Linked DNA regions of Oryzias latipes. The main gene of each other region encodes a partner of the protein of the gene in region 6 in a complex. Links are inferred from orthologs where the notes say so. Each region holds a gene or a part of one and is shown on either strand. Other genes may lie near its edges. The genes, in order: lsm2, lsm4, snw1, srrm1, gpkow, snrpg and usp39.

The links.
Region 1: snrpg (region 6) and lsm2 share a complex: the UniProt entries of both Homo sapiens proteins name them as parts of the U4/U6-U5 tri-snRNP complex. The link is inferred for Oryzias latipes from reciprocal best matches to the Homo sapiens genes SNRPG and LSM2.
Region 2: snrpg (region 6) and lsm4 share a complex: the UniProt entries of both Homo sapiens proteins name them as parts of the U4/U6-U5 tri-snRNP complex. The link is inferred for Oryzias latipes from reciprocal best matches to the Homo sapiens genes SNRPG and LSM4.
Region 3: snrpg (region 6) and snw1 share a complex: the UniProt entries of both Homo sapiens proteins name them as parts of the minor spliceosome. The link is inferred for Oryzias latipes from reciprocal best matches to the Homo sapiens genes SNRPG and SNW1.
Region 4: snrpg (region 6) and srrm1 share a complex: the UniProt entries of both Homo sapiens proteins name them as parts of the minor spliceosome. The link is inferred for Oryzias latipes from reciprocal best matches to the Homo sapiens genes SNRPG and SRRM1.
Region 5: snrpg (region 6) and gpkow share a complex: the UniProt entries of both Homo sapiens proteins name them as parts of the minor spliceosome. The link is inferred for Oryzias latipes from reciprocal best matches to the Homo sapiens genes SNRPG and GPKOW.
Region 7: snrpg (region 6) and usp39 share a complex: the UniProt entries of both Homo sapiens proteins name them as parts of the U4/U6-U5 tri-snRNP complex. The link is inferred for Oryzias latipes from reciprocal best matches to the Homo sapiens genes SNRPG and USP39.

What each region holds. Positions count from the first base shown.
Region 1 is NC_019862.2:27,136,628-27,140,890, reverse strand, and holds the start of lsm2 (U6 snRNA-associated Sm-like protein LSm2), read right to left. Parts: upstream 2,898-4,263; 5' UTR 2,780-2,897; coding exon 2,777-2,779; intron 2,592-2,776; coding exon 2,524-2,591; intron 1,405-2,523; coding exon 1,374-1,404; intron 1,288-1,373; coding exon 1,228-1,287; intron 326-1,227; coding exon 200-325; 3' UTR 1-199. UniProt on the Homo sapiens protein: Plays a role in pre-mRNA splicing as component of the U4/U6-U5 tri-snRNP complex that is involved in spliceosome assembly, and as component of the precatalytic spliceosome (spliceosome B complex).
Region 2 is NC_019862.2:13,834,347-13,838,777, reverse strand, and holds the start of lsm4 (U6 snRNA-associated Sm-like protein LSm4), read left to right. Parts: upstream 1-1,477; 5' UTR 1,478-1,597; coding exon 1,598-1,600; intron 1,601-2,026; coding exon 2,027-2,068; intron 2,069-2,308; coding exon 2,309-2,407; intron 2,408-4,099; coding exon 4,100-4,280; intron 4,281-4,431. UniProt on the Homo sapiens protein: Plays a role in pre-mRNA splicing as component of the U4/U6-U5 tri-snRNP complex that is involved in spliceosome assembly, and as component of the precatalytic spliceosome (spliceosome B complex).
Region 3 is NC_019882.2:3,678,672-3,683,126, reverse strand, and holds the start of snw1 (SNW domain-containing protein 1), read left to right. Parts: upstream 1-1,519; 5' UTR 1,520-1,632; coding exon 1,633-1,646; intron 1,647-2,068; coding exon 2,069-2,222; intron 2,223-2,296; coding exon 2,297-2,458; intron 2,459-3,474; coding exon 3,475-3,570; intron 3,571-3,716; coding exon 3,717-3,823; intron 3,824-4,455. UniProt on the Homo sapiens protein: Involved in pre-mRNA splicing as component of the spliceosome. As a component of the minor spliceosome, involved in the splicing of U12-type introns in pre-mRNAs.
Region 4 is NC_019880.2:16,881,344-16,885,009, forward strand, and holds part of srrm1 (serine/arginine repetitive matrix protein 1), read left to right. Parts: intron 1-1,237; coding exon 1,238-1,408; intron 1,409-1,544; coding exon 1,545-1,639; intron 1,640-2,073; coding exon 2,074-2,295; intron 2,296-2,381; coding exon 2,382-2,567; intron 2,568-2,644; coding exon 2,645-2,764; intron 2,765-3,051; coding exon 3,052-3,254; intron 3,255-3,476; coding exon 3,477-3,554; intron 3,555-3,666. UniProt on the Homo sapiens protein: Part of pre- and post-splicing multiprotein mRNP complexes. As a component of the minor spliceosome, involved in the splicing of U12-type introns in pre-mRNAs. Involved in numerous pre-mRNA processing events.
Region 5 is NC_019865.2:21,312,218-21,315,011, reverse strand, and holds part of gpkow (G-patch domain and KOW motifs-containing protein), read right to left. Parts: intron 2,275-2,794; coding exon 2,168-2,274; intron 573-2,167; coding exon 368-572; intron 279-367; coding exon 146-278; intron 1-145. UniProt on the Homo sapiens protein: RNA-binding protein involved in pre-mRNA splicing. As a component of the minor spliceosome, involved in the splicing of U12-type introns in pre-mRNAs.
Region 6 is NC_019865.2:4,866,650-4,870,626, forward strand, and holds snrpg (small nuclear ribonucleoprotein G), read right to left. Parts: upstream 2,580-3,977; 5' UTR 2,466-2,579; coding exon 2,434-2,465; intron 2,291-2,433; coding exon 2,268-2,290; intron 2,114-2,267; coding exon 1,989-2,113; intron 778-1,988; coding exon 727-777; 3' UTR 619-726; downstream 1-618. Other genes in the region: zinc finger protein Xfin, read right to left, coding at 3,828-3,977. UniProt on the Homo sapiens protein: Plays a role in pre-mRNA splicing as a core component of the spliceosomal U1, U2, U4 and U5 small nuclear ribonucleoproteins (snRNPs), the building blocks of the spliceosome.
Region 7 is NC_019867.2:12,332,897-12,337,115, reverse strand, and holds the start of usp39 (U4/U6.U5 tri-snRNP-associated protein 2), read right to left. Parts: upstream 2,891-4,219; 5' UTR 2,776-2,890; coding exon 2,718-2,775; intron 2,407-2,717; coding exon 2,328-2,406; intron 2,252-2,327; coding exon 2,157-2,251; intron 2,070-2,156; coding exon 1,933-2,069; intron 1,402-1,932; coding exon 1,249-1,401; intron 1,164-1,248; coding exon 938-1,163; intron 343-937; coding exon 268-342; intron 93-267; coding exon 25-92; intron 1-24. Other genes in the region: c9h2orf68 (UPF0561 protein C2orf68 homolog), read left to right, coding at 3,214-3,323, 4,122-4,219.

The DNA.
Region 1 (4,263 bases), on a different chromosome or scaffold from region 6:
AGATCCTAAACCGCCTCAGAAGTAAAGAAAATGTCCATAAACCCACAGACCTGCAGTTGGCCCATCGCCAACATCAGGAATGCACTCAATTCTCCATCGACCGGCGCAGTGTGTGGAGGCGGTTCACAGCGGTCTTCTTCAAACTGAACTATAAAGAACCCATGACTTAAAGCCCCCCTCCCCGAACCCGCAGCCCCGGTCACTGCTTCTGCTGCATGGCTTCCTTCCGAGCGGCGTCCTGAAGCAGCTGAGTGTCCACCTCGTCTGCCGGCAGCTGAACGTACCGGACCACCGAGCCGCGGATGAAACAGTTTTTCACAGACAGCTGGAGAGCGTGAAACACGTGAGACACGGAGTCAGGCAGGGCGCCTTCCAGAGGAAGAGAATGAACACATCCAAGGGGATTCAGAAGCTAACACTTCTCTTTTTCCCACCACTCTCACGGGTCAAATAACCACATTTACACTCACCTGCCACTTTATTAGGCACACCTGTCCATCTGCTCGTTATCACAAATTTCCAACCAGCCAATCACATGACAGCAAATCAATGCATTTAGACATGGTCAAGATGATCTGCTGCTGTTCAACCCGAGCATCAGAATGAGGAAAAAAGGTGATTTAAGTGATTTTGAACGCAGCAAAGCTGAAATCATCTATTAATAATGAGTTCTCTGGACTCGATGGTCTCCACAGTCACCAGATCTCAACCCAATAGATCACCTTTGGGATGTGGTGGAACGGGAGATTGGCATCATGGATGTGCAGCCGACAAATCTGCAGCAACCGTGTGATGCTGTCATGTCAATATGGACCAAACTCTCTGAGAAATGTTTCCAGAACTTTGTTGAATCTCTGCCACCAAGGATTAAGGCAGTTCTGAAGGCAAAATGGGGTCCAACCCAGTACTAGCAAGGTGCGCCTAATAAAGTGGGCAGTGAGTGTAGAACTTCTGCATATTTTTAAATGTTTTTCTGAAAAATTGTAGTTTAGAAACTCTGAAAAATGTTTCTAAATCTTTGCTGTTTACCTGAAGAACTGCTGTCTGCTCTGCCCTACACTGAAACTGAACTTCCAAAGGTGTGCTTCTACATTTCTCACCCAGCAGACAACTTTAAAAATGTTTGTTATACTGACAGAAGGAAATAAAAGAATAAAAACAACTGTATGTTTTAGAGGCCTCTATGCAAACTTTAGACTAAAAAGTAAACCATAGATGAGGACTTGCCATGTGTGGATACTTCTCTGGGTCTGTCACACTGATGTCGGTCAACTTGATGTTCAGGTACTAGATGATGACAAGAACAACATTTTTAAATTGCAAACCAATACATTGATTAATTAAAAAAAGTAAAGAATTAATTATTTTCTAACCTGATCAACAGAATGAAGCGTCCCACAGATACTGGGGGGAAAAAGAGAAAATGAAGCTTTCAATGCAACAGTGAACTTTTGATGTTAAATGACTTTCTGGGAATATGCAAATTTGTATTGAACAAGTCAAAGTTTTTGTTCAGTAAATTTATTTCTATTGTCAATGCTGCAGGAAAGTCTGTTTTTTCTTATATCCCACTCTTATCTTTTTAAAGCGCTCCTAGTGGTCTTTAAATGTGCTGTTTTTAGCCAAAAATAAAAAAAAAACCTGCGTCGTTTTCTAGGACAGTTTCTGCAGAGCAGCAGTTGTTCACTAGAAATTTGTCTGAGATCGTTGGTGCAGAGCAAGCCTGCCCCATCTTCCCATCATCCTTTGCTAACTTACAACCCCCCCCCCTTAACCCAACATTAGGTGTGCAACAAAAAAGAAAAAAAAAGTAATATTGGAGCAATCCAGCCGTACAGTTATTTGTGCCAGCTCAGACCAGGAAAACAAAGACGGACAAATCTATTTGCCTGCAAGTGGATGCATCAGAATGGAGCAGAGCAGGGAGCTTATGGCATCAAAACCACTTTTTTCATTTGGATGGGTTTTTAAAAAAAGTACCACATGTCTAAGTATCGTCCATCTGTGAGAGGAGCTAAGAATTATGAGTTACGTCTTTAAAGAATGCCCAACAACTAACTGTAAGCTAATTTTAATATTTACTTTTGAGCTTTCATCATGAGATGCAGCTAGTTTGATTGACCCCCCACCCCCACCCCCGCAATTGACCCTACTTCTTCGGGAAAAAGGTCTAAAATGAATTTGCAGCACGTTTGCAGACCAAGAGTTAGCTCAGAAAACTAACAGGAAAAAAAGTACATTTTTCACGCTGCTGGCACCAACCTATTGAGCCAGATTTGCAACAAATGCTGGAAGGAAGGGATGGCAACCCCACGCCACTGTGACCAGCATGAGATGCAAAACACCAGCTAGAAGGAAAGACAGCAACTCTGACAGAGTCAATGTCTCTGTCAATGCTAAGTAGCTCTTCACTGCACCCATTCAAACAGCGCTAGCAGAACCACGCGCCATTTTTAACCACAAACGGCGCTTTGAAAAGAAACATTACCAAACAAATTGGTATGTTGAGTTATCAAAACCAACCTGAGGTCGTTTTTCAGCTCCACCACCACGTCCTTCCCAACCAAAGACTTGAAAAACGAGTAGAAAAGCTGTAGATTTTTTTTAAAAAAAAGACGATGTTAGCACGATGATGGGCCGACAAAGCGGCTCAGCACACTGCGAGCAAACTCAGCGACAAAACAAAAGAAATTCAGAAGAATTCTGACACTCAGAAACCTAAAATGTTTGACTTAAACTAAAAAAGTACATTTTAAAATGACGATTTACGCCTTACCATTTTGGCTGTGGTGTTCTACAGAAGGTTTGGCTGCTGTTGATGACGTATCAGCCTGCGCCGTGTTTCAGCGGTGAGTGAGTACCACTTTGCGCCACTAGAGGGAGACACACTGTCGTTCAATGTTTATTAAGGAACTATCAGGTGTTTTTCATTGACCGAGATTTAAATTTAGGCTTTCACTCATATTTCTTTAAAAAAAAAAGACATAAAAAACATTATGAGCCATCTCTTAAAAAATTGAATAAAATATCAAAAGTCTAATTCAGATTTAGTCTAGCTTCTAGTCTAGCTACCAGACATGTTTGTGATACTTTTTGTACCTCAAAACTTTATTTTTTTGTAGTATGCAGACCTTTACTGTGATTTAAAAACACACACAAACACAAACCTGAAATGTCTATAATTTGCTGCAAGAGTTTTTAATCAGGATTAAGTTTGTTCCTCAATGTTCTTTTATAAATTACGACGGAGTTTTAGGGCCACCAAAAAAAAACAAAAAAAAAACGTAGGGTCGTAATAAAAACATAGAACCTAAACTATATTAATAACGATATTAATCTTTGTAAAGAAATTGTGTTTTTCTATACTGGTCAAAGGAAAGCATGCTTTTCATGCTTTAATGCTGAAAGTTTTCTGTATGAAAACTGGATATATTTATTGTTTACGTCTTCTAATTTAAAGAACCTTTGGTCTCCAGTGCCATTTGGAGTTTTATTCTGTTTCTTCTCCAATGTCTTTCTGATTTTATCTACAGTTTGATGCAATAAAAATCAGAAAATGAACACAATTGTGACCGTTTTGTTTCAAGAGTTCTTTCTGTATTCTGATGAAAGACCACACGGGGGCAGTGTCGAGCACTCAGATGTTTTAACAAATCTTTTCAGCTTCTTTACTCATCATGGTTTACGAACTTGATCTGAAACAGAAAACTCTATAGCAACGAATCACAACTGAATGTACACAGTTTTATCTTTAAAATAATTATTAATTCAAAAGTTCTTTTGTTTTGTTTTTGAGAAAGTTAAGACGTTGCTCCTGGGTCTTCTGTTGTTGACACGGGTAAATTCCACTAAATGTGCTTAAACTGTGGAGTGGACGGTGTCTCAGTGGACTCTAGTTCAGGATAAAAAACAAACAGGTGAGATAACTCTGGACCATTTACTCCTTTTATGAATTTTCCTATGTTTTGGAAATTCTTTTATTACAAGATACATACTTGATAGAGTGAGTCTTTCTGCAACTGTTAACTTAATTCATTTTCATCAAATATAGGGCTGCACAGTGACGTAGTGGTCCACTAACTTTACTCAACAGTTGCTCAGTTAAAGGATTCAGTGGGTTCTGAGGATGGATAGGTAGATAAGTGGATCATTAAAAGCAAAAACAGAGTTTCTCTATAGACTATCATGTAAAACTAACCCTATTCTAAAAAGACTTTACAGAATGAATAAATGTTGTCACTTGACCCTTGAAGTCACAACGAA
Region 2 (4,431 bases), on a different chromosome or scaffold from region 6:
AAACAGATCCTCTTAAACAGCCGGAGACCCTCACAGCTGACGACTCCTTCTCCCACAATCAAAAGAAACCTGCCGTTCTCTCTCATCCTGCACGCTGCGTCAAACCCAACGTAATGACGCCATCAACGGAATGACGGCTACGGTGGCTGAGAAATGTCAACTTAGGGAAAAAACAAAAAGAAAAAATAAATAAATAAAAACTACACAAATATCCTATTTTAATACAACCAATTGTCTTGCCTGTGTTTTATCATAAAATAAGACTTTAATTAAGTACCAAGCTATAAATTAGTTGTTGCAAAAATTGCACCAGCAAAAATATGAACGTGTTGGTCAAATTATATAAGGATTCACGTAATTCAATTACATGAATCCATTTGGTAATGAAAAAAATTATTATTTTTTAAACCACTGTCACATTTATTTAGACTTTACCAAAACCAGACAGACCTTAATCATAAAATAGAATAGAACAGAATAGAATAGAATAGACTTATTTTATTGTCACTGTGTCACATGTACACGCAACAAAATTCCAGCTTTTCCTTTTTTATAATACAAGGAGTTGTGGCAGTGATCTATTCAATATTATTCTTCTCTTTCTTCTCTATTATCCTCATTTTATCATCATTATTTTTTTTAATTTTATTCTGTACTAATTTAAGGAATAAAAATGCATTTCACTGAAAATGAAGAAAAAATTACTGTATTATGTTTAGTCTAGACACTCATACCTAATGCGAACTAATCAGCAATGGTACAATCTGAAATTTGAGACACAGGATTTTGCTATAAGATATTATTAAGCGGTTTTATGCTTTGAAGGAAATGTTTGTGTATAGATAGATAGATAGATAGATAGATAGATAGATAGATAGATAGATAGATAGATAGATAGATAGATAGATAGATAGATAGATAGATAGATAGATAGATAGATAGATAGATAGATAGATAGATAGATAGATAGATAGATAGATAGATAGATGGATGGATGGATGGATGGATGGATGGATGGATGGATGGATGGATGGATGGATGGATGGATGGATGGATAGATAGATGGATGGATAGATAGATAGATAGATAGATAGATAGATAGATAGATAGATAGATAGATAGATAGATAGATAGATAGATAGATAGATAGATAGATAGATAGATAGATAGATAGATAGATAGATAGATAGATAGATAGATAGATAGATAGATAGATAGATAGATAGATAGATAGATAGATAGATAGATAGATAGATAGATAGATAGATAGATAGATAGATAGATAGATAGATAGATAGATAGATAGATGTTACACTTGGTCCTCTGTATTTATTTTTGAATTTCGTCACAGTAAAAGAACAAAAGAAAATGCTCCTGTGTTTGATAGATAGATGTTACACTTGGTCCTCTGTATTTATTTTTGAATTTCGTCACAGTAAAAGAACAAAAGAAAATGCTCCTGTGTTTGCGCATGTTTTGCGCTAGGGGGCAGTCATGTTTTAATAAGACGTGGCACCGAGTACGTAGAAAACGAAGAAGAGTCTGCGAGTAAAAATCGTGTTGCTAATCTAAGGCAGCACAAACATAACCTACCAGAATGGTAAGTTATTACTTACAAATGGACTATTTTGTAAAAATCACACACTATATAAAAATACTGACCTGTTCTTTGGCTTCAAAAATCCCATGTAACTGGTTTAAACATCGCAAATCAAGGCTAAGCTACGCTAGCAACCAATGCTAAATTGTTTTCTGCTTGTGGAACGCTGACTATACAAGTGGTTCTTTTTAAAATTATTTTCTATATAAATATATAAGGGGGGGGGGTCACCATTTCAGATACACGTTTAGTACTAAACTAAACACAAACGAATCATTATAGTTCGGAACAGAGCTTAAGTTTCTCCGCCGACACAGAAATACATTCAGACGTGTTCTTCATTTCTGAATCAATATTCCTTTTAGAATGCATTATTTTAATATATCATAGAGATCATAAATCGGACCCATTTCTACTATTTCGCAGCTTCCCTTGTCCCTTTTGAAGACGGCCCAGAACCATCCTATGGTAAGAAATAATTGCTTTTCTTTCCTCCTTCTATTCCTTATCTGGTGATTACTGGTTAAACCATTTTATTCAGTTACTTGTGGTTTTAAGATCAGGTTTTTTGTTTTGTTATTGAGATTGTTTGCATGTTTTTCTTTAAACAATAATTTTTGTGCATTTCTTTTTGAATAAAGAAAGAACCTTTTAGAAAACCATAATCACCAGCTGACCTTTTTTTCAATGAACTTTGATTTTTTTCAGCTGGTTGAACTGAAGAATGGAGAAACCTACAACGGTCATCTGGTTAGCTGTGACAACTGGATGAACATCAACTTGAGAGAAGTCATCTGCACATCCAGGGTAACAGATTTGCTCTCATGTTCTCAGTGGAGAACGATCCATAAACTGCACACCTTAAATAAAAAAAATTAGCTTAAATTTAACAGTCGCTTACCTGTTTCCTTCAGTTTTCATTCTGACTACCTTAGCCGTTTAAAGACCCACCCCAATTAAAATAGTGTATTTGTTTGGTTTGGTTTTTAACATGTTTTGTGGCATTTTTCTCATAATGACGGACATATATAAAGAAAGTTTGTAGGCAATTAGATCCATTTACGTCTTGGTTTTCCTCGTCTGAGCTGGCATCTGGCTTTAAACTGTACGTCTGTATAGCTTCAACATTCCCCACCAATTTTCTTGCACTTGGTGTTAGATTGGGGGTATGAGGGTGTGTAAGCTAGCAGGAGAGTGGAAACAAAGGGACCTTGGAAAATGCGGCAGGCTTTTTTAGGTATATTTCTAATGAACTTCTGTCACTCTGCAGAAACTGTCCTAGAAAACAAGACAAGTTTTTCATTTTGGCTTAAAGCTGCATAATGAAAAAAAACAAAATCAAAATACTGGGAATAGATCAAAAGATAATTGAAGTGAGCCTTTAAAATATAAAGACTAATGTATAATGAAGCAATGGTTTTAGTAAAACATCCTTTGATACATGTTGGAACAAAAACCTCAACGCTAATTTTTTTTGTTAGAAGAAAAAGGACTGATTATTGTTAAAGGCCCTGTACCATGCTATTCCTAAACCATTCATGGTAAAGAATATCCATATATATATTACCTTTGGCCCACAAAAGAAAGATTTTTTAAATTAAATATTAGTTACGTGGCGCAGTGGTTAGCGCAAGATCCCCCAGCCAAGTTTTGGGGACTTGGTTGCTGTTGGTCCCCCAGCCAACTGCAAGCCCAGCCAGGTCCAAGACTTGGCTGGGGGACCTGAAAAAGAACCTGTCTGTGTGGAGTTTGCATGTTCTCCCCGTGCATACGTGGGTTTTCTCCGGGGACTCCCACCTTCGTAGGTTAATTGGTTACCTTAAATTGTCCATAAGTGTGAATGCAAGTGTGCATGGGTGAGTGATTTGTGGACCTGTGACAGACTGGTGTCCTGTCCAGGAAGCCCCCTGCCTTCACCCATGAGTAGCTGGGATAGGCCCCGGCAGCCCAGTGACCCCAAAAGGGACAAAGCGGGTTTAGAAGATGAATTAAAAAATGATGAATGAATATTAGTTATTTTCCTGAGTTATTTTCCAACCTGGAAGCAAGACGACTGGATCTGAGGCACCGGCACTTCCATGATGTCAACCTATAGCCAGCATCAACAACATGTCTGTGTCTCGCCCACGAAACAAACAACATTCAAACTTTCGTAAAGATGAATGTGCATATTGAGCATGTAAAGAGAGTTTTGCCAAACACCACTAGCTTCATGGAGTGTGTGTTTTAGCCTGGGGGCGGGGCTGGCAGCGCAGACTCTTCCTGGAAGGGGCTGTTCTCACTTATCTACATCAGCTCGTGAGAACCCGCTTGTTTTTGTGGGTTAGGTGTGGCTGGTTCCTGGAGCACAGGTTTTTAGAGGAATTCTCAGAAATGCGTGAATGGGTCAATACTGGTTTGAGGTTTCTTTATAATACACCGGGAAGTTCAAAAAAGGGATTTAGCATAGACCCTTTGAAGTATACTGGTTACACTCATCGTTTGGTCTTTTTCCCACAGGATGGTGATAAGTTTTGGAGGATGCCAGAGTGCTACATCAGGGGAAGTACCATCAAGTATCTGCGAATTCCAGATGAGATTATTGACATGGTGAAGGATGAGGTGGTTTCTAAGGGTCGTGGACGTGGAGGTGCCCAGCAGAATAAGCAGCAGGGTAAAGGAAGAGGCGGAGCCGGCCGAGGTGAGAGGAAGCAACTTCTGCATTTGTTCTGTCATGATTTGCCTTAATGAGACTTAGATCAGCTTAAAATAAGTAAAAAATCCCTCTGTTAAAGCTTTTAAACACATCTGGTGAAACATCATCTTTATTTGTTTAGGAATTTATTATTCTA
Region 3 (4,455 bases), on a different chromosome or scaffold from region 6:
TTTGTGTCAGGATTTGAAATTGTTGGTTTCGAGGTAACCCTGATCCCTAATTTCAGAAAAAAATGTTCAAACTTTTCTGCTAAATTTCAGGGATACCTGTGCAAAAGTGTAAATCAACCCCATTGTTTCCTGATCGCATTTGTTTATAATTTCAAGTTATACCAAAGAGAACAAAATCCTGATAAATATGGGATCCAAAATGAAGAGGAACAAACTTAATGAAATCAAGAGACAACATTCGCTGGTGGGAAATAAAAATAAGGCAAAGAATTTCATTGATTTTGAGGATTCGTGTCTCTGCACGACAGCAGTGCAAACTGCTAGATATCTTAGAAAAACCTTATTGACAGATCACAGGCTTTAATATACATTTAGGCTTTAAGATTGACAGAAAAAGGATTTAGACTCGCAACATCTGCATGAAAGCAGGATATGAAATCACTTATCCATGAGTGGACTTAATAAGGTGGCTACCTGTTTTCTATTAGATCCTAAGGGATTTCCTTCTGTTTCAGCAAAAGTTCTCTGGCAGTCTGAGTCTCTTCCTGAATATGAATGATACTTTTTATTAAATATGAAAACAATCCAAAGGAAATGGAGGAAGTTTCCATCCACCAAAAAAAAATCCTCTTTTGAAGTAACAAAATATGTATCTGAAGTATCCTTATGTAATTTATAAAAACATTTATGCATTTTTTTTATTCAAGCATATCATTCTTTTATTCTGTCATCCTTGTTTTTTTATAAAATTATTATTTTTCTATTGTTGTTTTTTGTGTAATTTAAATGTTGCTTTAACTTCTTAACTTTACCTTTGACTCCCGTGTTTCTTCATTGGGAACCTGGCCTGCTGAGTCCAGGGCAGGGATCTGCAACCTGAGGCTATGGAGCCACATGTCCATCCATTGTGGCTCTAAGGTTTAAAAAAAAAAAGGGAATGATTTGAAGAAATTATAAATGTGAAGTTTGGAACAAAATAATAATAAGAGTTGTAGTGTACTGTCTGAGTGTTTTTTGTTTTGTTTTTTTCAAATAAGCCTTAAAGCTCTTTTTCTGATCCTCTGCGCCACAACACTGTGTAGTTGCTGTTCAGAGACAAAGTTCTTATAGTTTATAAGTTATGATGCAGCCAGAAGATCTTATTTGGTACAGGGTGTAATTTATTTTTAAAGGAATTTGGATAAGCGGCCGTCAGAAGTAAAGCAAGTCCAAATTTGTATGCATAGAAAATATAAAGGCTGTGTTATTTCAATTATTTTAAATATTTAATAACTTTATTTTATAGATGAATAGATGATTGGCCAATACAACATATAGGGTTTTTTAATAATTAGAAAAAAATGTGGGAAGCACAAGTGTATGTATAAAGTTTCGTGTTTTTTTCATTGGGTGGGTGAAAGCCTGTTTTTTGTGTGCATTGGCTTTTATTATGTAATTAACTTAACAAGTTAACATAACAAATAAAATGTTGTAAAACGAGTATGTACTTTTATTTTATTTTGTTTTTATCGAACTGGACATGGTTTGATATGTATTAGAGCTTAGAATTGTCAAACCTGGCAACCTTCTTCTCTTTTTCGCTTACGGCCTGTTCTTGCGCATGCTCACTTCATAGTTCAGGAAGAAAGGAAAATGTCTCTGACGAGGTAAGTCTCTAAGTGAGGCCTTTTGGCGAATAAGGCACAAAATGCGATCGGAGTTTCTGTCTGTGTTTGTTATACATTTATTTGGTTTAATATTAAACGTTAAATATTTAGTTAAACTTTAAACGTTTCGCTCTTTTCTGTGTTTATGATGTTAGCTAATGCTAGCTAGTGCTAACTAGTGAGACGGGGTTAGCATTAGCTTGTACCCTCAAACGACCGTTTCTGAAGTTAGCTTGTTTGTTTAATCTATTACTTAAACACATGTATTTGATATCGTGTTAAATAAACCTCTTTACCTGCATTAACGTTTCAGGTTTGCAGTTTTTGTTCCTGCTACTTTGACGTCGTTTCACGCTGATCCGCGTTTACAGCGACTTGCTAAGTTGTCTTTAAACTGCATTATGTGGACCTGTTTTGCACAGCTATTTACCGGCACCGACCCAGCTGTCTCAGGACCAGCTGGAAGCAGAAGAGCGGATTCGGACCCAGAAATCCTATTCCACTGCGCTGGTTGCGTCCCGTAAAGAACCCCCTCCTTACGGACACAGAAAAGGCTGGGTTCCGCGTGCATTTGAGGTGCACTTCAATGGATTACACATTGGTTCACTGCCTAGTTTCGCATTTCTACAAAACATTCTGGGTGTTCCTAGGACTTCGGAGATGGCGGGGCTTTTCCAGAGATTCACGTGGCCCAGTTTCCTCTGGAGATGGGCAGGAAGAAGAAGACCTCTAACGCCCTGGCAGTTCAAGTGGACGCAGAAGGGAAAATCAAATATGATGCCATTGCCAGACAAGGACAGGCTAAGGATAAGGTACTTGAGCTTTTCCTCTTTCTGGCAGTCAGTGAGGAGCTTTAAAACCCTATTCTTGCTCTTAGTGTCCACAAATACATGAGAGGTTCTGACTTCTTGGTTCTATTCCTATCAGACACGGCTGTGTTTTATTTGTATTTTTTCACATAAAAAAGAACCAACAAGTCAGTTAATAATACAAGACACGATGAACTTTATCAAACTAACATGAGAGGTTCATTATATGACTTGACAGATTCTAAATTGACCTCTAAAAGTCCAGCTGAAGAACCGATGTTCTGGATGACAGAATCTCCACAGAAATGTGGGACCTAATCTTAACTTTGGTAATACAGCTTGGTTTGGTTGTCATTTAAAAAAAATGCACACTATAGTGTTTTGTTTTTTGTAAAAACCATGTTTGATCCTTACATTTCTATTGGTGTTCATACACGACACTCCAGACGCATGTGGGAGGAGCTACCGCCAAACGGTTTTAGCCTCATTGCTGCAGACAGGGATGATGTTGAGATATCACGTTTTTCTACTTTGAAGAGCTCTACAAAAATGTCGATAGGCACGTCTCCATGTCTTGATCAATGAGATCATCCAGAGACTCCCACATCTGCTCCTGAAAGGGAAACCCAGTTTGACGACTTTCTGTTCTGCATTCAGGACCTTTTTTTGTGTGTCTTGATCCACTTATAACATCTTCAACGCATCCCGGTCCGAAGAGGAGTCCCTGATTGGTTGACGCGGCGCATCTTGTTTGCCGAAGTTCATATTTTTGAACTCTTGACGCACCGCAACAGCCAAAAAAGCGCGCGGCTGCCAGACTGGTGTGCAGCTCCAAAATCAAATCTGATTGCTTCTTTACGTTAAGCTAACATTAAAACTGGACACTCCTAATGCGCAAATGGCATTTAGTGTAAACGCAGCTTTACACAATCTATCCTATTCTATGAGTCTGCATGTTTTGCCATATTGGTAAATTTTGAGTGAGATTATTTCTATAATTTTCTTCTTGATTTTTGTAGGTGATTTACAGCAAGTACACTGATCTGCTCCCAAAAGAAGTTCTTAATGAAGACGCTTCAGGCCTTCAGAAGCCGGATGAGGAGGCTGTAGAAGAGGTAATTTGCTGCTCGGGCTCGTGCAGACATTCAGGATTCATTCATCCGATTTGGTGAAATTGTCTTTCAGCGTGCCCTTACTTATTGTTTTTAATTACTGTAAGCATGTGTAGTTTCTCATGGTTGGGGATGGATGCTCTTTGCAGTTGACTGAGAAGACTCGGGCCGCTCTACAAAAGCAGGTGTCGCAAAAGATTGCTGCAGCCATGCCTGTCCGGGCCGCCGACAAACTCGCTCCTGCACAATATATCAGGTAGCAATTTACCTGAATCATAAACAGTACTTCTATTTTAGATCGAGGACTTCTTTGTTGTTCCATCAGATCCTCTTGGATTTTGCAATCACACCAGTTCACATGAATTCAACCAATTCTTGCGACGTTTTTGCCCAATTACTTTTGCCAGCTGCTCTTATTTTAAACACTTTCTCCACCAATCAAGCGTAGAGGCTGAAGCATAAACATCTCTTGTCTAATCGAACATGCTTACTTCTGGAACTATATCAAACAACAAAAGGAAGTATTGAACAGTCGGTCTATCACAACATTTTGCAAATATTGAAGCTGGAAGTTTCCTTCAACGTTGCGTTGAAGCACCAGCGAGTCGATGATTGACGAGAACCTTTCCACCTGACGTTTGCAGAAAACGACTGAAAGTTGTGTAGAGAGTATATGGAGATGTTGATTTACCCTTCATGGGGTTAAATAAAATCCCCTTCAATAAACAACTTTTCAAATATTTCTCCTCCTACAGCTTTTGGTGGAGAACTATTATTATATAATATCACAGCTTTAGGCATTTTGTGCCTCAGCAATCACAAAAATGTCATCAAGGTCCTGAAGGAACTGTTGTGTAATGTCTGCTGTGTAGTACTTTTTGTATTGTG
Region 4 (3,666 bases), on a different chromosome or scaffold from region 6:
ACAAACATGAGTTATTTTGGTGCATGGCAGGTGAGCTACAAGATGCAATACTTTTCAGTTATTATGTTTCAACAATTTGCATTGATGTAAAAATACATTAAAAAAATCAAACTAAACATACGCAAGTTTAAAATTAGCCCAACTGCATGTGATTTTAAAGACAGACCTTTGTTTAAAGGCAAAAACAGCATTGTAATTTGCAATTTTTAACCAAATCGTAGTGCAAAAAAGTTTTTGTTCTCTAAGCAGCACATTCTGTGTGTTGACATTTCAATAATTATATTTAACTTTTGTTTAAAGGTAGACGTTCAGGATACATCTTAAGTAGGTCAAGTAGTAGTAATTGAATGTTTATGCCTGTTTTAATGCGAGTCTCTATGCAGTCTTTGTAAAGTTTTTCTTAGATATAATTCCGAAGTGGGTGGACTTGCCCAAAAAAATCCCAGAAATGTAAGTGTGTAGGTGGGAGGGTCGGGCTGTTAGAATTTAAAGGGGACTTTAGTGTTTTTTTTAAAGAATGAATACAGTAGTAGAACTAGTTTTCAATGTTCTCACTTTTTCATTTATTTGAAATAAAAATAATCTATTTTTTGTGTTGCTGTGTACTCATTATTGCTTGTTCGTCTCTTACAATTTAGAATGATATAACATTAAGCTCAAGGTGGTTGAGTCTCAAGCTGTAGGGAGGCGGAAGCAAGCCAAGGGAGCTCCGTGCCCACTGGTTCCACGGGACTCACTGAAGACACCGGAACTGTATTTGCAGTGTTGGGTTTTAATGCACTCTGTATTATGGTTAATTTGTCGAACCCCTAAAGTGTAGCCTGGGGGGGAGACTGGGAAATGGGTTGGATAGCGTTACTGGGAGTGGAAAGTAGCAAAGTAGCACTTACAAAATAAATTACACATTTTTGTATTTGAGTTTCTGTGCTACGTTAACATATTTAAAACTAAAAAAGATTGCATGGAGTTTATATAATTGTATGAATTTATCATTTTTAACTGATTTATTTGTATTGGTTAGTAGTAAATCCAGCTTTGGACTGAGATATTTGTAAAATGATAGTCACTGTTAAACATGTTTTGATATGATTACATTAATCCAGGTTTAGTCTAGTGAGGGATAGAAGGCAGGACTTCCCATTTGTGGGATCCTGCCTCCTTTTAATATTTTGTTTTCAGATATTTCAACAGCTGTATTTTTTTTCTCTTTTCCCCTTTTCATGTCTGTGTGTTGCAGCATCCAGACAGCAAGATGATGCAGATCAACCTGACAGGGTTCCTGAATGGAAAGAATGCCCGAGAGTTCATGAAAGACCTGTGGCCCCTGCTGTTGAGCGCCCAAGAAAACATCGCCGGCATCCCCTCTGCCTTCCTGGAGCAAAAGAAGGAGGAAATCAGACAGAGACAGGTGCGCTTCCTCATCACCCCTATGTCACATTATTGATCTACAGCAACGTATTTCAGGGTTAAGTTGTAGTCGGTGATTATTTAGCTGAATGCAATGCTTCCCAGCTGTATGATCAGTGCTTTTTGGTGTTTCTCAGATTGAACAGGAGAAGATTGCTTCATTGAGGAAGGTGGATGAAGATAAGAAGGAAAAGGAAAACCGGGAGAGAGCTCAATCAAGGAGTCCAAGACGGTTAGAATTATCATCATTGTTTATGTTGACTGGTTTAAACTTCTGTGAATTTTTTGGGACCTTGTCTGACAAGTCTTTAACAGATGCATTTTAGAACTATATTTATAAATTTACTTCCCTTTAAATAAGTTTTTATGACATTGTATTCCCTGATGCATGTGTTCACAACCATGTGTTTTGATTAGAATTTACTTAACCCCTTGATTCTTGAATGTATTTCCAGCTTTTAAAAAAATGTTTTTGCTTTCAATTAAATGCTAAATTTAGCTAATTTTGGACCCAAAGATTTGATGATTCATGATTTGATGTACATTTGCTTTAATTGTGAAGCTATATCTTATGTTTCTTTGGATTGTCTCACAAAACCATACACTGTTCTGGCCTAAGTCTTACTTTAATACACTGAAACACTTTCTTTTTTTTTTTTTGTTCAGGCGGAAGACAAGATCTCCATCACCACGTCGAAGGTCACCAGTGAAAAGAGAAAGGAAACGCAGTCCATCACGGTCCCCCAGGCGTAAGCCTAGTCCAGTCGGCGGCAGCTCCCCCCCCCCTCTTATGCAGCTGCCCACTAAACCTTCAGAGCAGTCTTTGGAGCCAGATTCATCAGGAAAAGCCGCACAACAACAAGTCGTTCAAGAAGCTTCTTCTGCAGGGTTGGTGGTGTTTTGTTTTTGACAGATTGATTTGATTCATATCTAAAATGGTGGAGAATTAACACTTGAACATTTTTTTATTGCAGAGATACAGCTGTAGAGGCCGCTAAAGCGAGCTCAGCAACGGAGGTTAAAGAAACATCTCCGGAGAAACCTCATAAAAAAGCGGACAGACCACGGTCACGTGAAAGGGAGAGGGATCCGAGGAGAGAAAGGCCTCACCACCGCTCCCGGTCTCACTCCCATTCCCGTAGGCGCCGCTCCCGTTCAAGGTAACGTGGGACATCATTTGTTGAATTAGTGTGAAAAAATTAGGCTGCAAAAGGCTTATTTCTCTTTTCTTTTTCAGATCTTACTCTCCACGTAGAAGACAAAGTCCTAGAAGGAGGATGTCCCCTCGTCGAAGGAGTCCCCCTAGACGGGGCCCCGCTGGCCCCAGACATCGACACAGGCGTTCCCCTGTGCGAAGGTCGGATAGCAGAGATGCTCACCTATGATTTTGTTATACTGTTACAAAACCTTTCATCCAGAGTTTGAGTCTGAACTTCAGTTAATGCTCCCAGAAATATCTCACTAAAGAAACGCATATATTTTGACTTAATCAAAAAGGGAATAAATGCATAAATTTAACTTTTATCGTGTTAATGTGACACAAAATCTATATACCGTAGGTTTCTGTGGGTTTTTTTGTTGTTCCAAATTGCCTTAAAAGTTGTATTAAAATAAACATTAAAAAAAATTACCTTTGGTCTGTAGGAGGCGCTCTCGTTCTGCTTCGTCCTCTGGCAGCAGCTCCTCTGGTTTACGTTCTCCTAAAAAACCCCTGAAAAGAACGTCGACCACCCCACCCCGGAAACAGCGTCCCCCCACATCCTTGAGCCCCGTAGGAAAGGACAAACGCTCGCCTTCTCCACGAATGAGAAGGGGCCAGGGCTCTGCTTCCCCGCCGAGATCCTCAGGTAGGATGTATACTCAAGTCCAATGAGAGAACAAATGTATCGTCTTATCTTGCCTTAAAGCAACACCTGCCCCCCCCCCCCCCCCCCCCCCCCCCCCCCCCCCCAAGAAAAAGTTTTTTTACAGTCCATATTTCTTTGTGACGAAAATATTTAACACATAAATATTCTACAAGCTCGAAATCTAGACAGACTATTTTAAACTTACAGAACTCTCATTTTCAGGTTTCAAGCAAAAACCAGAAGGAAGAGAATCTCCGTCTGAAAATGTTAAGATTGGACCTTCTGACGGCTCCGAGTCAGGTCAGAGCTGAGGCTGTTAAAGAAATGTTCTTGTTTCACACCTTTGGATCAAAAATGACAATGCTACACTTTGGAACCATATTAGATAAAATACACAATTATCATGAAGCAT
Region 5 (2,794 bases), about 16 Mb from region 6:
AAAAGAAAGAACACATTGTCTGATCCTTTTGTGCTTTATTCTGCCCACATGAATAAAGGAAAAGTCTTGGAACAATAGTTCTGCGTTTGACCATTTATTTAGGCGATTAGGAGAAAAATCCATGCAGCTGAGAAAGGACACTCACTGATGTCTTTGCTGTATTTGTCGTATTCTTTTCGTCCGACCAGTCTCACGCCGTGTTGGCTGAGTGTCACAGTCTTGCCCCCGACGGCGAGCTTCACAACCACTCGAGCGTTGTCTGCATCGACGCCTTCAATCTGCCGCGTCAGGGAAAGTCAGAGCGGTTGGTGTAAAGGAAAAACATAATTGCTTAAGGGTGGCAGTGACGTGGAATGCTGAACTCCACCTTGCCATAGAGATCTTTGTGTGCTCCAGACTCCACCAGCACACAACCTCCAGGACCCATCACTAGCTCCTCCTCCTTTCCCGGCTCGTCTCCGGGTTTCGGCGGACGCTGATTCCGGTTGGGTTCCAGATCTTTTATGGCCGAGCGATCCGCTCCGAGGCCCAGGCCTTTCGGGCGGAGCTGGTGTTCGATTGGCTTCACGTCTCTGAAGCAGACAGAGAAAATCAGCCTTCGATCAACAACAGACTGAAGGTTAAACAGATGAAAAACTGAATCAAAAACCTGAGGTTTGATGACAAAATTAAACTCAACTATATGATGCAGCAAGCCGAAGATTTGATCATGTTAAAACTTGCTTTCTGTTGTCTTTCTTATTGTAATTTCATACGTTGCATCTGATATCCAATTTATTACAGAAGGCAAAAAGTGTATCAACAATTTAGTAGTTTTTTTCTTCCTTCTTCTCATTTTGCTAAAAAGCTTCAGACATTCCAAAAAGGTCAAAGACATTTCTTGGGCCCGCTGGGAAAGTCAAAATGTTATCAAGTCAAGGAAAAATATCGTATCACTTTGCATGAAGAAAAGTGTCTAACTCTAACTAGAAGCTGCTGAGGAGCTGAGCAGAAACGGATGCTTGAATGCTGAAGCCCAGAAACGTACAGCAGCTCACTTTTCCTCCTTCCACAAAGTTCTGCTTTGAAACCTCCGTGTTCTCCGTCTCCTCCCCAGCTCCGGCGGGCGTGAGGAGCGACTCAATGAAAACACCCGAAATCCCAAACAATGAGAGGAAGTGACGACCCAATTAACAAATAATGTCTCCTCCGGCTATCTTTGCAAACATCTAACACCACATTGGTCCAGCTTAACAGCTTACGGGGAAGCTCGGCCGACCTACTTATTTTTAGCACACGGCTTAAAGTTTGCATTGGTGCAAACGCGTGGGGATGTGTAACCTGCTGAGCCAGCAAGATGTCAAAATATGATGAAGATAAGGTTCTCCGAGCAGTCACCAAAACGATCATTTTAAGAGAATTCTGAGTTAAAACAACATTCTGCATGCGTCAAATGTTTCAAAGCATTTCTCTGTTCAAATAGTTCAAGACAGACGCGCTACAGGCAGACTAACCACGGGTAAAATGATATGAGCATCTCAATAAATCAACAAAGAGATCTTTTTTTTCTTGAAATAACTCGTTTTCCAATCAAATGTATGCATACATTTTAATTAATTGTATTTCTACTTAAAAATTGTAAGTGTTTTTTTCTTTTTACATGTATGAAGGCTGGTTCGATGGGCTAGTTAGGTGCAGGACTGGGACATGTTCGATTCCCAGAGGGAGCGATGAGCTTTATCCAGTGCGAGTCCTTGGGTAAAAGCACTTTTTTGGGTTAATGCCAAAAATATGTTTAAAAAGCAATTTAACCTGCTGTTTGTGCATTAAACAACATTTCAGATATTTTGGAGATCTTTTTGTGTTTCTTTGTACTAGAGTTGGTGATGGCACCGTTGTTACGGAGAAGAGTTCACATTGGCACTTCATGTCATCAATGTCACTGACCCCTGGTCTAGATTATGGAATTTTGCTGGATAATGAGGAAAAACTGGGAGAACAGGACTTCCTTAAACACTAGGAAGGATGTGATGTTCTCCATTGATCTATAAAAGCTTTGAACTGAGAAAGAATGAGAACATGTGGTATTCAAATCACTTTTAGTCATAAATTAAGATAAAATAATCTACGAATGACATCATTCCGAAAGTCTATGTTAGATCAGGGGGTAAAGCCAGCCGTCACTTACTGTTTAAAGGTGCGCCCAATGCCTTCACTTTTCTTCCAACCCATCCCTTTGAGCATGGCCAGTCCGTAAGCCTCCACTGGAACGCTTTCATAGTCTGCCTCTGTAGACTTAAAAACAACAAAGCTGGAAATGTTTACCAAAATAACGAGCAAGGAAGATCTAAATGGGAGGTTTGTGTACTGCTCAAGGTTTAAAGATGGCGGCTGATGGAGGGAGGCAGGCTGTAACGTCCGTGTCACTCAGCCTTTTGGTTTCGGGGACTCGACGCCGGCTGACTGAAGCCGCGCCGATCTCTGCAGCGCTCCCACTCATCGCTGTCCCCACTCAAGGCTTTCCTCACAGATTGACTGGGAGATCTCTCTCATTCAGGAGGCCGCATTAAAAAAGAGCTGCGGGGCTCATGACCCCCATGATCTGCCGCTCACACGATGGAGCAAGACATGGGATGACAGTGAAGAGACGTGCCAGGCCTCTGATTAAAGGAAGCAGAAGGAGATCTGACTGGCTGCCTGCGTGTATCTGGGTGGGGGCAGATAAAGCAGCGTTGCCAGTCTCCCACAGAGGCCTGCCCGGACAAAGTCATCTGTAGTCTTGCACGCCACGCGAATGCTACATACTCAGCACTTT
Region 6 (3,977 bases):
GCAAAATGGGGCCTTTTTGTTCAGAATATTTACCTTTTAAGATGTTAAACACTGACAACATAAAAAAACACTCAGCTTTTTGTTGACAGCCACCAAATAAAAGTATATAGTTTTAAACTTTAGAAAAATTGGTAACCCTTTGTTTTAGTGTCAAGCAGCTAATGTTTTTAATTTTAAAATACCTTAAATTTTTTTCCTTTCAACGTGGAAACTTTTAAACTTGATAGAGCTCAAGAATAAACAAACTGAATCCAACTTTTTAATATTTTATGAACAAATACTTGCCTGCTAGTTTATAACAAGTTTGCCAGCTCATGAATGGAAATTACGCATATCTTAAATATTCAGCTGACTTTAGGTCTATCAAATTATTAAAATAGTTCAGCATTTATGTCTTCATCACCAGCATTCCCAACATTGTTTAGCCATTATAGCTTTTTAACAGCTAAGCTATAAAAAAAGCTTTCGAATTCCTTAAGATAAGACTAACCCTAACATTTAAGATATTCTTTTTTTGTTTAGCAGCTCATCCTCCATTACAAAAACACTAAATTCTTGCTGCATCTACAGGAAAGAACACATACAGTAACATTTCGTAAAACCAAACAAATGCACGGATAAAAAGAAAAATAGTTTATTAACAAACAAACATCTCAAAACCAACAGACTTTCATTGTGAATGAACTACAATGGAATGAGAAAACAGGAGGCGCCGCTGTGCTCTGCTCATACTCGCTCCAAAGCCTCCAACATGATGATGCTGTTTCCTCGGATGACCTTCGGGAAGACAAAAGGAAAACAGATCAGATCTTTTCACGTTTACACATTTATTTTTACACAATTGTGTGTTGAATAAGAGAAATGTTCTAGTTTGGGAAAAACTACTAAACCCTTTCCTGAGGCTGTCACATCAGGAAAAACCACGAACCTGCCAACGTTTGGTTTCACAGATATTCACTGGAACAGGCAATTGTTATTTGTTCTTCCGTAAAGACAGGTCAGTTTTGTTTCAGATAAACTAATTAGACATCTTTGGAAAAGCTGGAGTATTGGGGGGGGGGGGGGGGGGGGGGGGGGGCAGTATAATATATTTAAGAGAGATTTTCAGTAGGCATTGAGGCTCCCCTGTTGGTCTGGATGTATTTATTTTAAGTAGTAATGAACTTTTGGCTACACATAAAAATGTGGAAATGTTTTCCAGTAACCCTGCTTTATTTGCAGCTAGTCACGTGGATCAGGTGGATTTCATCAAGCAGAATCTGCAGCTTCCCGATCTAGAAAACCAGTAGCAACTAGAATACAGATGCCTGGAAAACAAACGAGGAAGTCTGTCTTATCAATATAATGTTATATTTACAAGAGAAAGTGGATAGAATAGGTTCTTTGACTAAAGAATTTTGAATAAACTTCGAAACAAAATTTGTTTTTGTAGAAAAAATTAAAAATTAGTTGCCGGAAATGATCAAAACCACTAAATGACCAACTGGGATTGCTTTAATTTATTTACTTTGACATGTTCTTGTGGCATTTTTCTGATGAGGACATATATTTAAAAAAAATATGCTTAAAATTGCTTTTCTGCGTATTTCTTTATTCAAAATGTAGTGAATTAAAAGGAGTTAAAAAAAAAGTAATTAAAACAAAAAAAGTGTATTTGTGAGGTAGAAAATTTTCTTTATCAAAAAGATGATTTTTAGAACATTTACATTTTTGTTACTAACTAGCAGACCCCTAACATATTTTATTGGTTCATATTTCTTTATAGGATTGTCTGGTTTGTTAGGAAAACAGTTGTGCATGTTTTTATAAATCTATGTAGACAGCACTCAAATTGGTTCAAATTGTCAAAAGATGGAATTGCTAATAAAGATAAAAATAAATAAAGAGTATGATCTTTAATTGAACCTATTCGTCCTGCTATTACGGGTGGGGTAAAACATTGAATTAAACTATTCCCTCATGCTTCACAGTTCTGCTCGGACACTGACCACCATCCCGATGGTGTTCTGCTGTCCCCCGGGGCCCATCTCCAGACAGTCGTCCATCACCAGGTTCATGAAGGGGTCGAACCCTCGCAGGATGCCCTGGACGTGTCTGCCTCCATTCAGCTTCACTGAAGAAAACAAAAAGAGCAAACTGATGAACATGAAGGCTGCTAGCTTAGCTAAAAGCGAATTTAATTTCACAAGAAAAAGCCGGCGAATGAATAGAAATATAGTGTAATTTTGAAATATGTATTAAATAATGAAACGAGAGTTTTAACTCACGGGAAAGCTTTTTGTCCATGAATCTGAAAGACAAAAACATTATTTAGATTTAGCTTCAATTCCTAGCTGTTCCGGCTAACGGTGGCTAACATGGAAACATACTACAATCTCGCGAAAAAGACCGAAGCTATCAGGCCTATCATCTTTCAAAAACTTGCAAACTTACTTCTTTAGCTCTGGTGGATGCGCTTTGCTCATGGTGTCTGTATTTTAACGAAACAAAGTCGTGTTTCAATTCACAAAACCGCGTAGGAAACGCGTGTGGACCGGGAGACCGGAAGTAAAACCCTGTGACCTTTGCTGTGCTGCGCCCTCGTGCGGCTGGGAGGAGTAATCTGGTTTAAAAAGGGATCAGCCAAAGGCAAATAATACTATTTGCAGTTAGAAAATGACCAAAACAACTATAAAAATACATGCACATGAAGTGTGTGATATATTTTATATATATATATATATATATATATATATATATATATATATATATATATATATATATATATATATATATATATATATATATAGAAAACCTTAAAAAACTCATTGTATTAATAGATTTTTATTTGTGCAAAAGCACAGCTGATTAGTTTTATTTTTTTTTGGTTGAACATCTGAGCTGTAATGATCAAAAGCAAAAATAAAATCAAACATACATTTAAAAAATGCGACAGTTTGTTTTACTTTTTCCTTTACAAAGGAAGATTGTGAAAAATTCCCAAAACATTTTTCAAACTTTAAATCATCACAGTGACACTGAAAAGAGCCGCTGAAAATAACTTTAGAGAAACAAAACTTTGAGGCGGCTGCTTTTGTTTGCATAGAAAGGAGATACAATCCACGTTTCCTGCTATCAATAAAGACATCAAAAACGTTTTTTATGAAGCAAAGGTTTATAGGAATTCATGCTAGACCCTCAGAAAAATGGAAATCTCATAAATTCGCACTCACTAAAAAAACAAATGGCTGAGATTCAACCCAAAATCTACCAAAGAGAACAGCCAGCCATTCAAGAGGATGTTAGCATCCATTACTTCATATTTCCTCACTAACATGACCTGAGCTACCTTAACTTTAAGAGGTTATGGGAACATTTTGAAACTATGATAAATTTGATAAACTATGATTTTTACTTTTACAAGCAATTTTAAAGAAAAAAGAAAAACAGCTTCATTCATCCTCAGTAGGATGTTGTTAGCAAGTTACCATGGTGATGTGCTCATGGAAAGCTGTCCTGACAAAAAATAAAATGTAAGAATTAATAATTATATATTTGCTGATTATTTGGAAGAAAACAGCACAATTTGACAAAACACATTCAGTGTATTAAAGACATAAATGATGATGTTAATCAGTGCTTTCCCTCTCCAGGAAGTTTAAGTTTTGATGGGAAAATAGCTTTTGAATCTGCCAGGCGTTGATTCAAATTGTAACAACTTTATTAACAAACAGAAAGCAGAAGGCATCGCACTTTGATGAGTAAACAAAAAATCAAATGTTCTCTTCAACCCTGAAGATGATAAAGCAAAAAAAAAAAGGCAGCTGTTGGACACATTCTGTTTCCCATCAGGCTTTGCTGGCCTGCTGTGCCAGCGCCTCCGACTCTCGGTCCTCCTCCACCCGGACCCGCAGGTGCTCCTGACAGTGTTGGAGGAAGCACTCCAGCACGGAGAAGCCCTGCTGGCAGGGCACGCAGTGGTACAGCCTGTGCCTCTT
Region 7 (4,219 bases), on a different chromosome or scaffold from region 6:
AATAAAAGCTAAACAGAGACTTACTAAATCTGGATGTGGTAGTTTCTTGGAGAAAATCCTCATGGAGCCTTGAAAGACTTTTGTAAGAATTGCTGTGTGAAAACAAAGAGCAGACCAGTTAAATTGAAGGACATTGCATGCAGACAACCAGCACTGGCTCTAAAATAGACTCCTTACATTGGAATAAAAGAGAAAATTACACATCAAATAAATGAATTCAGAAATTCAACAGATTTACTATAAACTAGGAGTGAATTTCTGACTCACATGGCTTCTTCTTTGTGCCTCCAAGAGCGCCATGCATGGCGTTTAGGAACCATGTCATGAAGTCCACAGCATCACCTGCAAACCAGAAAACATTGAGCAAACTCTACAAACTTATCCAGTGAGTTAAAGATTGTGGGGCAAAAAAGTATTTGGCAGCCACTGACTCTGCAAGTTGTCCCGCTCAAAAAGCTGAGTTTGGTCTGTAATGTTTACCATAGATATACTTCAACTGAGAGATAAAATGTCCAATAAATTATCCAGGAAATCACATTGTCAGATTTTTAGAGAATGTATTTGTATAATAGTGCAGAAAATAAGAATTTGGTCAACAACAAAAGTTCACCTCAATAGTTTGTAATGTAACCATGATTATCTATGACAAAGGTCAAACATAGGTCTTAAGCAGGTTTACAAACACTATAGCTATTATTCTGGACCATTCTTCCATGCAGAGCTGTAATGTTTTGAGGCTTTTGCTGAGAAACATACTTTAAACTCCCTCCACAGATTCTCTTTGATGCCAGAGTTATGTTTTTGGGATCAGTCATGTTGGAAGATCCAGCCATGTTTCATCTTTAGTGCTCTCATTGATGGAATGAGGTTTTTGCCCAAAATCTCAGCCTACATGGCCCTATTTATGTCAGCACTCCACAGGCCACAAAATAGTTACCTTGTTTGGTGATTTGGAAGTTTTTCTTGCTGCACAGGACTACAGCCTGCAGCATCTCGTGGGGCGACACGTGGGCCTTGAAGTTTCTCGGATTCCAAAGTTTGCGCATCAGCTCCCCAAACCGCTGCACCAGCAGAAACATGATGTCCCCTGGTGGCCTCCGGATGTCTCTGTAGTTCTCCTCCTCAAGGAAGTAGTTTCGCAAAGGTGGGACGTTGGAAAAAGCCTAAAAACAAAAGTACAATATGAAACCCCCTGTTATTTAAGTTGATGCCACAGCCTCAAAAATCAACATCAGCGGGGTTTCATACCTGTAGTACAGCATTGGCATAGTCGTTGGCTTTAATGTTATTAAGCCCTACAATCCCTGGCAGGTAGGTTGTACCATCGTAGGCTCTGTACAGTTTACCATGTTTGTCCAGACCCTCAATGTGCTGCTTGGTGAAAGTCGGCTTCAGCACATACTAAAGAAAAAAAGAGCAAGATTACCAACACAAAGCAAGAGCTTACAAAAAATAAAAAAAGGAGGGGTAAAAATTACTTAACATAAAACATTAAAAATTTAAAAAAGAAATGTAAAAAAAAAAGACGTATTAAAATTACAGCCAAAACTCTAAAAAGTATACTTTAAGACATTGCTAAATAACTTATTTTTAGATACTAGTACTGATACTTATGTGCAAAATATAGTAAATAAAATATACTATGCAATCAAATACATTGGCCTTGTATAAAATATATAAATATCGAACACATTTTTATGTACTCTGGGTTCACAAGTTAAAACTATTTTTAAACACAGAATATGTTAATGAAAACTATTGAAGTGTTACACTGACAAACAAGGAATGTGAGCAAAAGAATCTATCAATCATATCTAGAAGAAAAACAAAAAACTTTGTTTAATTTTAACATGTAACTGTTTACTTTTCCCCCCAGAGCAATTACCTTTTCATTTATACATTGAAAAACAGCAGATTTACTGCATTACTTACTGTGATGTCTTCTAGCGATGAGTCAATGATCTCATAGTTGTCTGGCAGACAGTAAAACTTGAGTGTGTGCAAGTTGAGGAACACATGGTGAGAAAACTGGACACTGTGAGTGTAGGCATGAGACTTCTGACCTCTGCCTGCAACAAGGAATGCAAACGTAAAGATGTTTAGTGTCATCTAAAAAGGAAAATAACAATGTGCGTTTGATGTGCTAATATGTCTACCTTGAAAGTATTTCCCACAAATAAGACAGGCATAAACATTAATGTGAGACAGAGAAATGGAGCAGAGCTTCTCAAAGTCAAAATCCAGAACACTCCTGCAAGACGAGAAGAAACTGAATTACAAGAAGAATGCTAACTAGCTTTAGCATACATTTTCAAACATTTCCTTGCCTGTTTATGGTGTCCAGGTAAGGACAATGGCGGCTTCTTCGGTCTTCAACCACACGTCCTCGCCTAAATTTGACTGTCACTGCAAAAGAGAGCAAATCACGATAAAGCTCAGTAGACGTAAACGGAATTCATTTTTACGAGAACAACTAACTACTAGCAATCAAAACATGCTTGCTAGCAAGCTAAGATTTTTCTATTAATCGATCTCTGTTTTAAAATAAACAGGTTTTACATATATTTTTATATGCTGATTGTCTTTGTCTTACATGTGAAACCATCAGTTTATTGGTGTAGAATGGAACTGACACAATATAAACTTTTTATGCTAGAAAATGCTCTTCTGGCTGGCTAACAAAACGAAAAACGGACGTAAGAGACAAATCAGCATACCTTCGTCTTCGTTATCCTCGTCGTCTTCTATTTCCTCCCTTTCACGCTTTAAAGACATTCTTGTAACTATAAGTTAGCAAACGGTTTGCTAACGAAACAAAAATTAACAAAACTTGAAGGTTTACGAGAGGAAATGAATGGATATTATTCAGCTCCTCGAAACTCGCGGTGGTTGTACGTCGGTGGTAATGGCGTGGGAAACCAAAACGTAACCCGGAGTTTAAAAAATAAATGTTTACCCCCATGTAAACTCTAAGTAATATATTTTATTTATTTGTATACTTCAGTTTCTTTTTTTGTCACAGAAATATAACCAAAATAGTTTATATTTTAGTTCAATGTGCATTGTAGGACTTACACGCAATAAATTAATTTGTAGAAACTCCGGGAACGCTACGGTTGGACATCCATTTATACATCGTTAGCTGTCTAGCTTTTTGTTAGTATTTTGCTTGTTCTTCTTTAGCTGTGTTTTCTTTCTAGAGTGTTTGCTGAAATGGATCTTATAAGAGATGAAGGAGTGCATGAGCTGAAGTACAAACCGGGGGGCCGTCTGGACATGAGCCACGGTTTCCTTCATCATATTCGGAGGAACCAGATTGCCAGGTGATTTCCTTTTTGCTGTTAGCCGAGTTAGCATACTTACTTGGGATGTCAAATGTCAATCTGTAGCTGCTGTCATTTCATGATTGATGTGAAATGATTTTTTTAAAAATGGCAGACAGTGAAATAACATTTTTTTAAAGTACCTAAAAGGCTTAAAGTCAAGTTTATTTTTACTTTAAAGCAGTAGAAGCAAAACCCTATTGGACTGACTGAAATTTTAAAAGGAGCATTAAGTTATTCGGTTTATGTTTTATTAGTGTAATTTATTATTTAAAAGTGGATTATTATATAAACTTAGGTTTGGTGTGTAAAACTTTTAAAGTTCCTCCTTGATAAATTACATACGCTGAGTTGGGCTGTTTTACAGCATCTGCTCTCTGTCTGGTCTTAAAAAAAGCTGCTACAATAATGTATGATAAGTATTTTGATTTACGTCCAAACAAAAAAGTTTGTTTTAATTCCCACACTCTCACTCTTTATTTAATCATTTAAAACGGATTTTTAACATGTTGATTTTATTTAGGCAACTTTGAAAGATGAACTATAAAGCTAAAAGAACAGCAATAATAATGTTGCTTTGTTGTGCGGCTCTTTAAATTGCTTTGATGTATGAAAAACAAAGCTGTTTTGCCTTAAAATAATAAAATTTTAAAAAAAGTATTATCCTCCAATGTGTAAACAGACCTAGGAACATTTTTAAGTTCATGGCCATGACCAAGATGCTCTGTGTTTTATTCAACTGTGCAACTTGCTATGTTTTTAAGAAATAATCAGAAAATATTTCAATTTCTTTATAAGAGATGACTATGATAAAGAAGTGAAGCAAGCCAAAGAGCTTCAGCGGCACAGGCGCACCACAACCCCCAAAAAGCCTCGGCGACCTGACATCCAGGTGT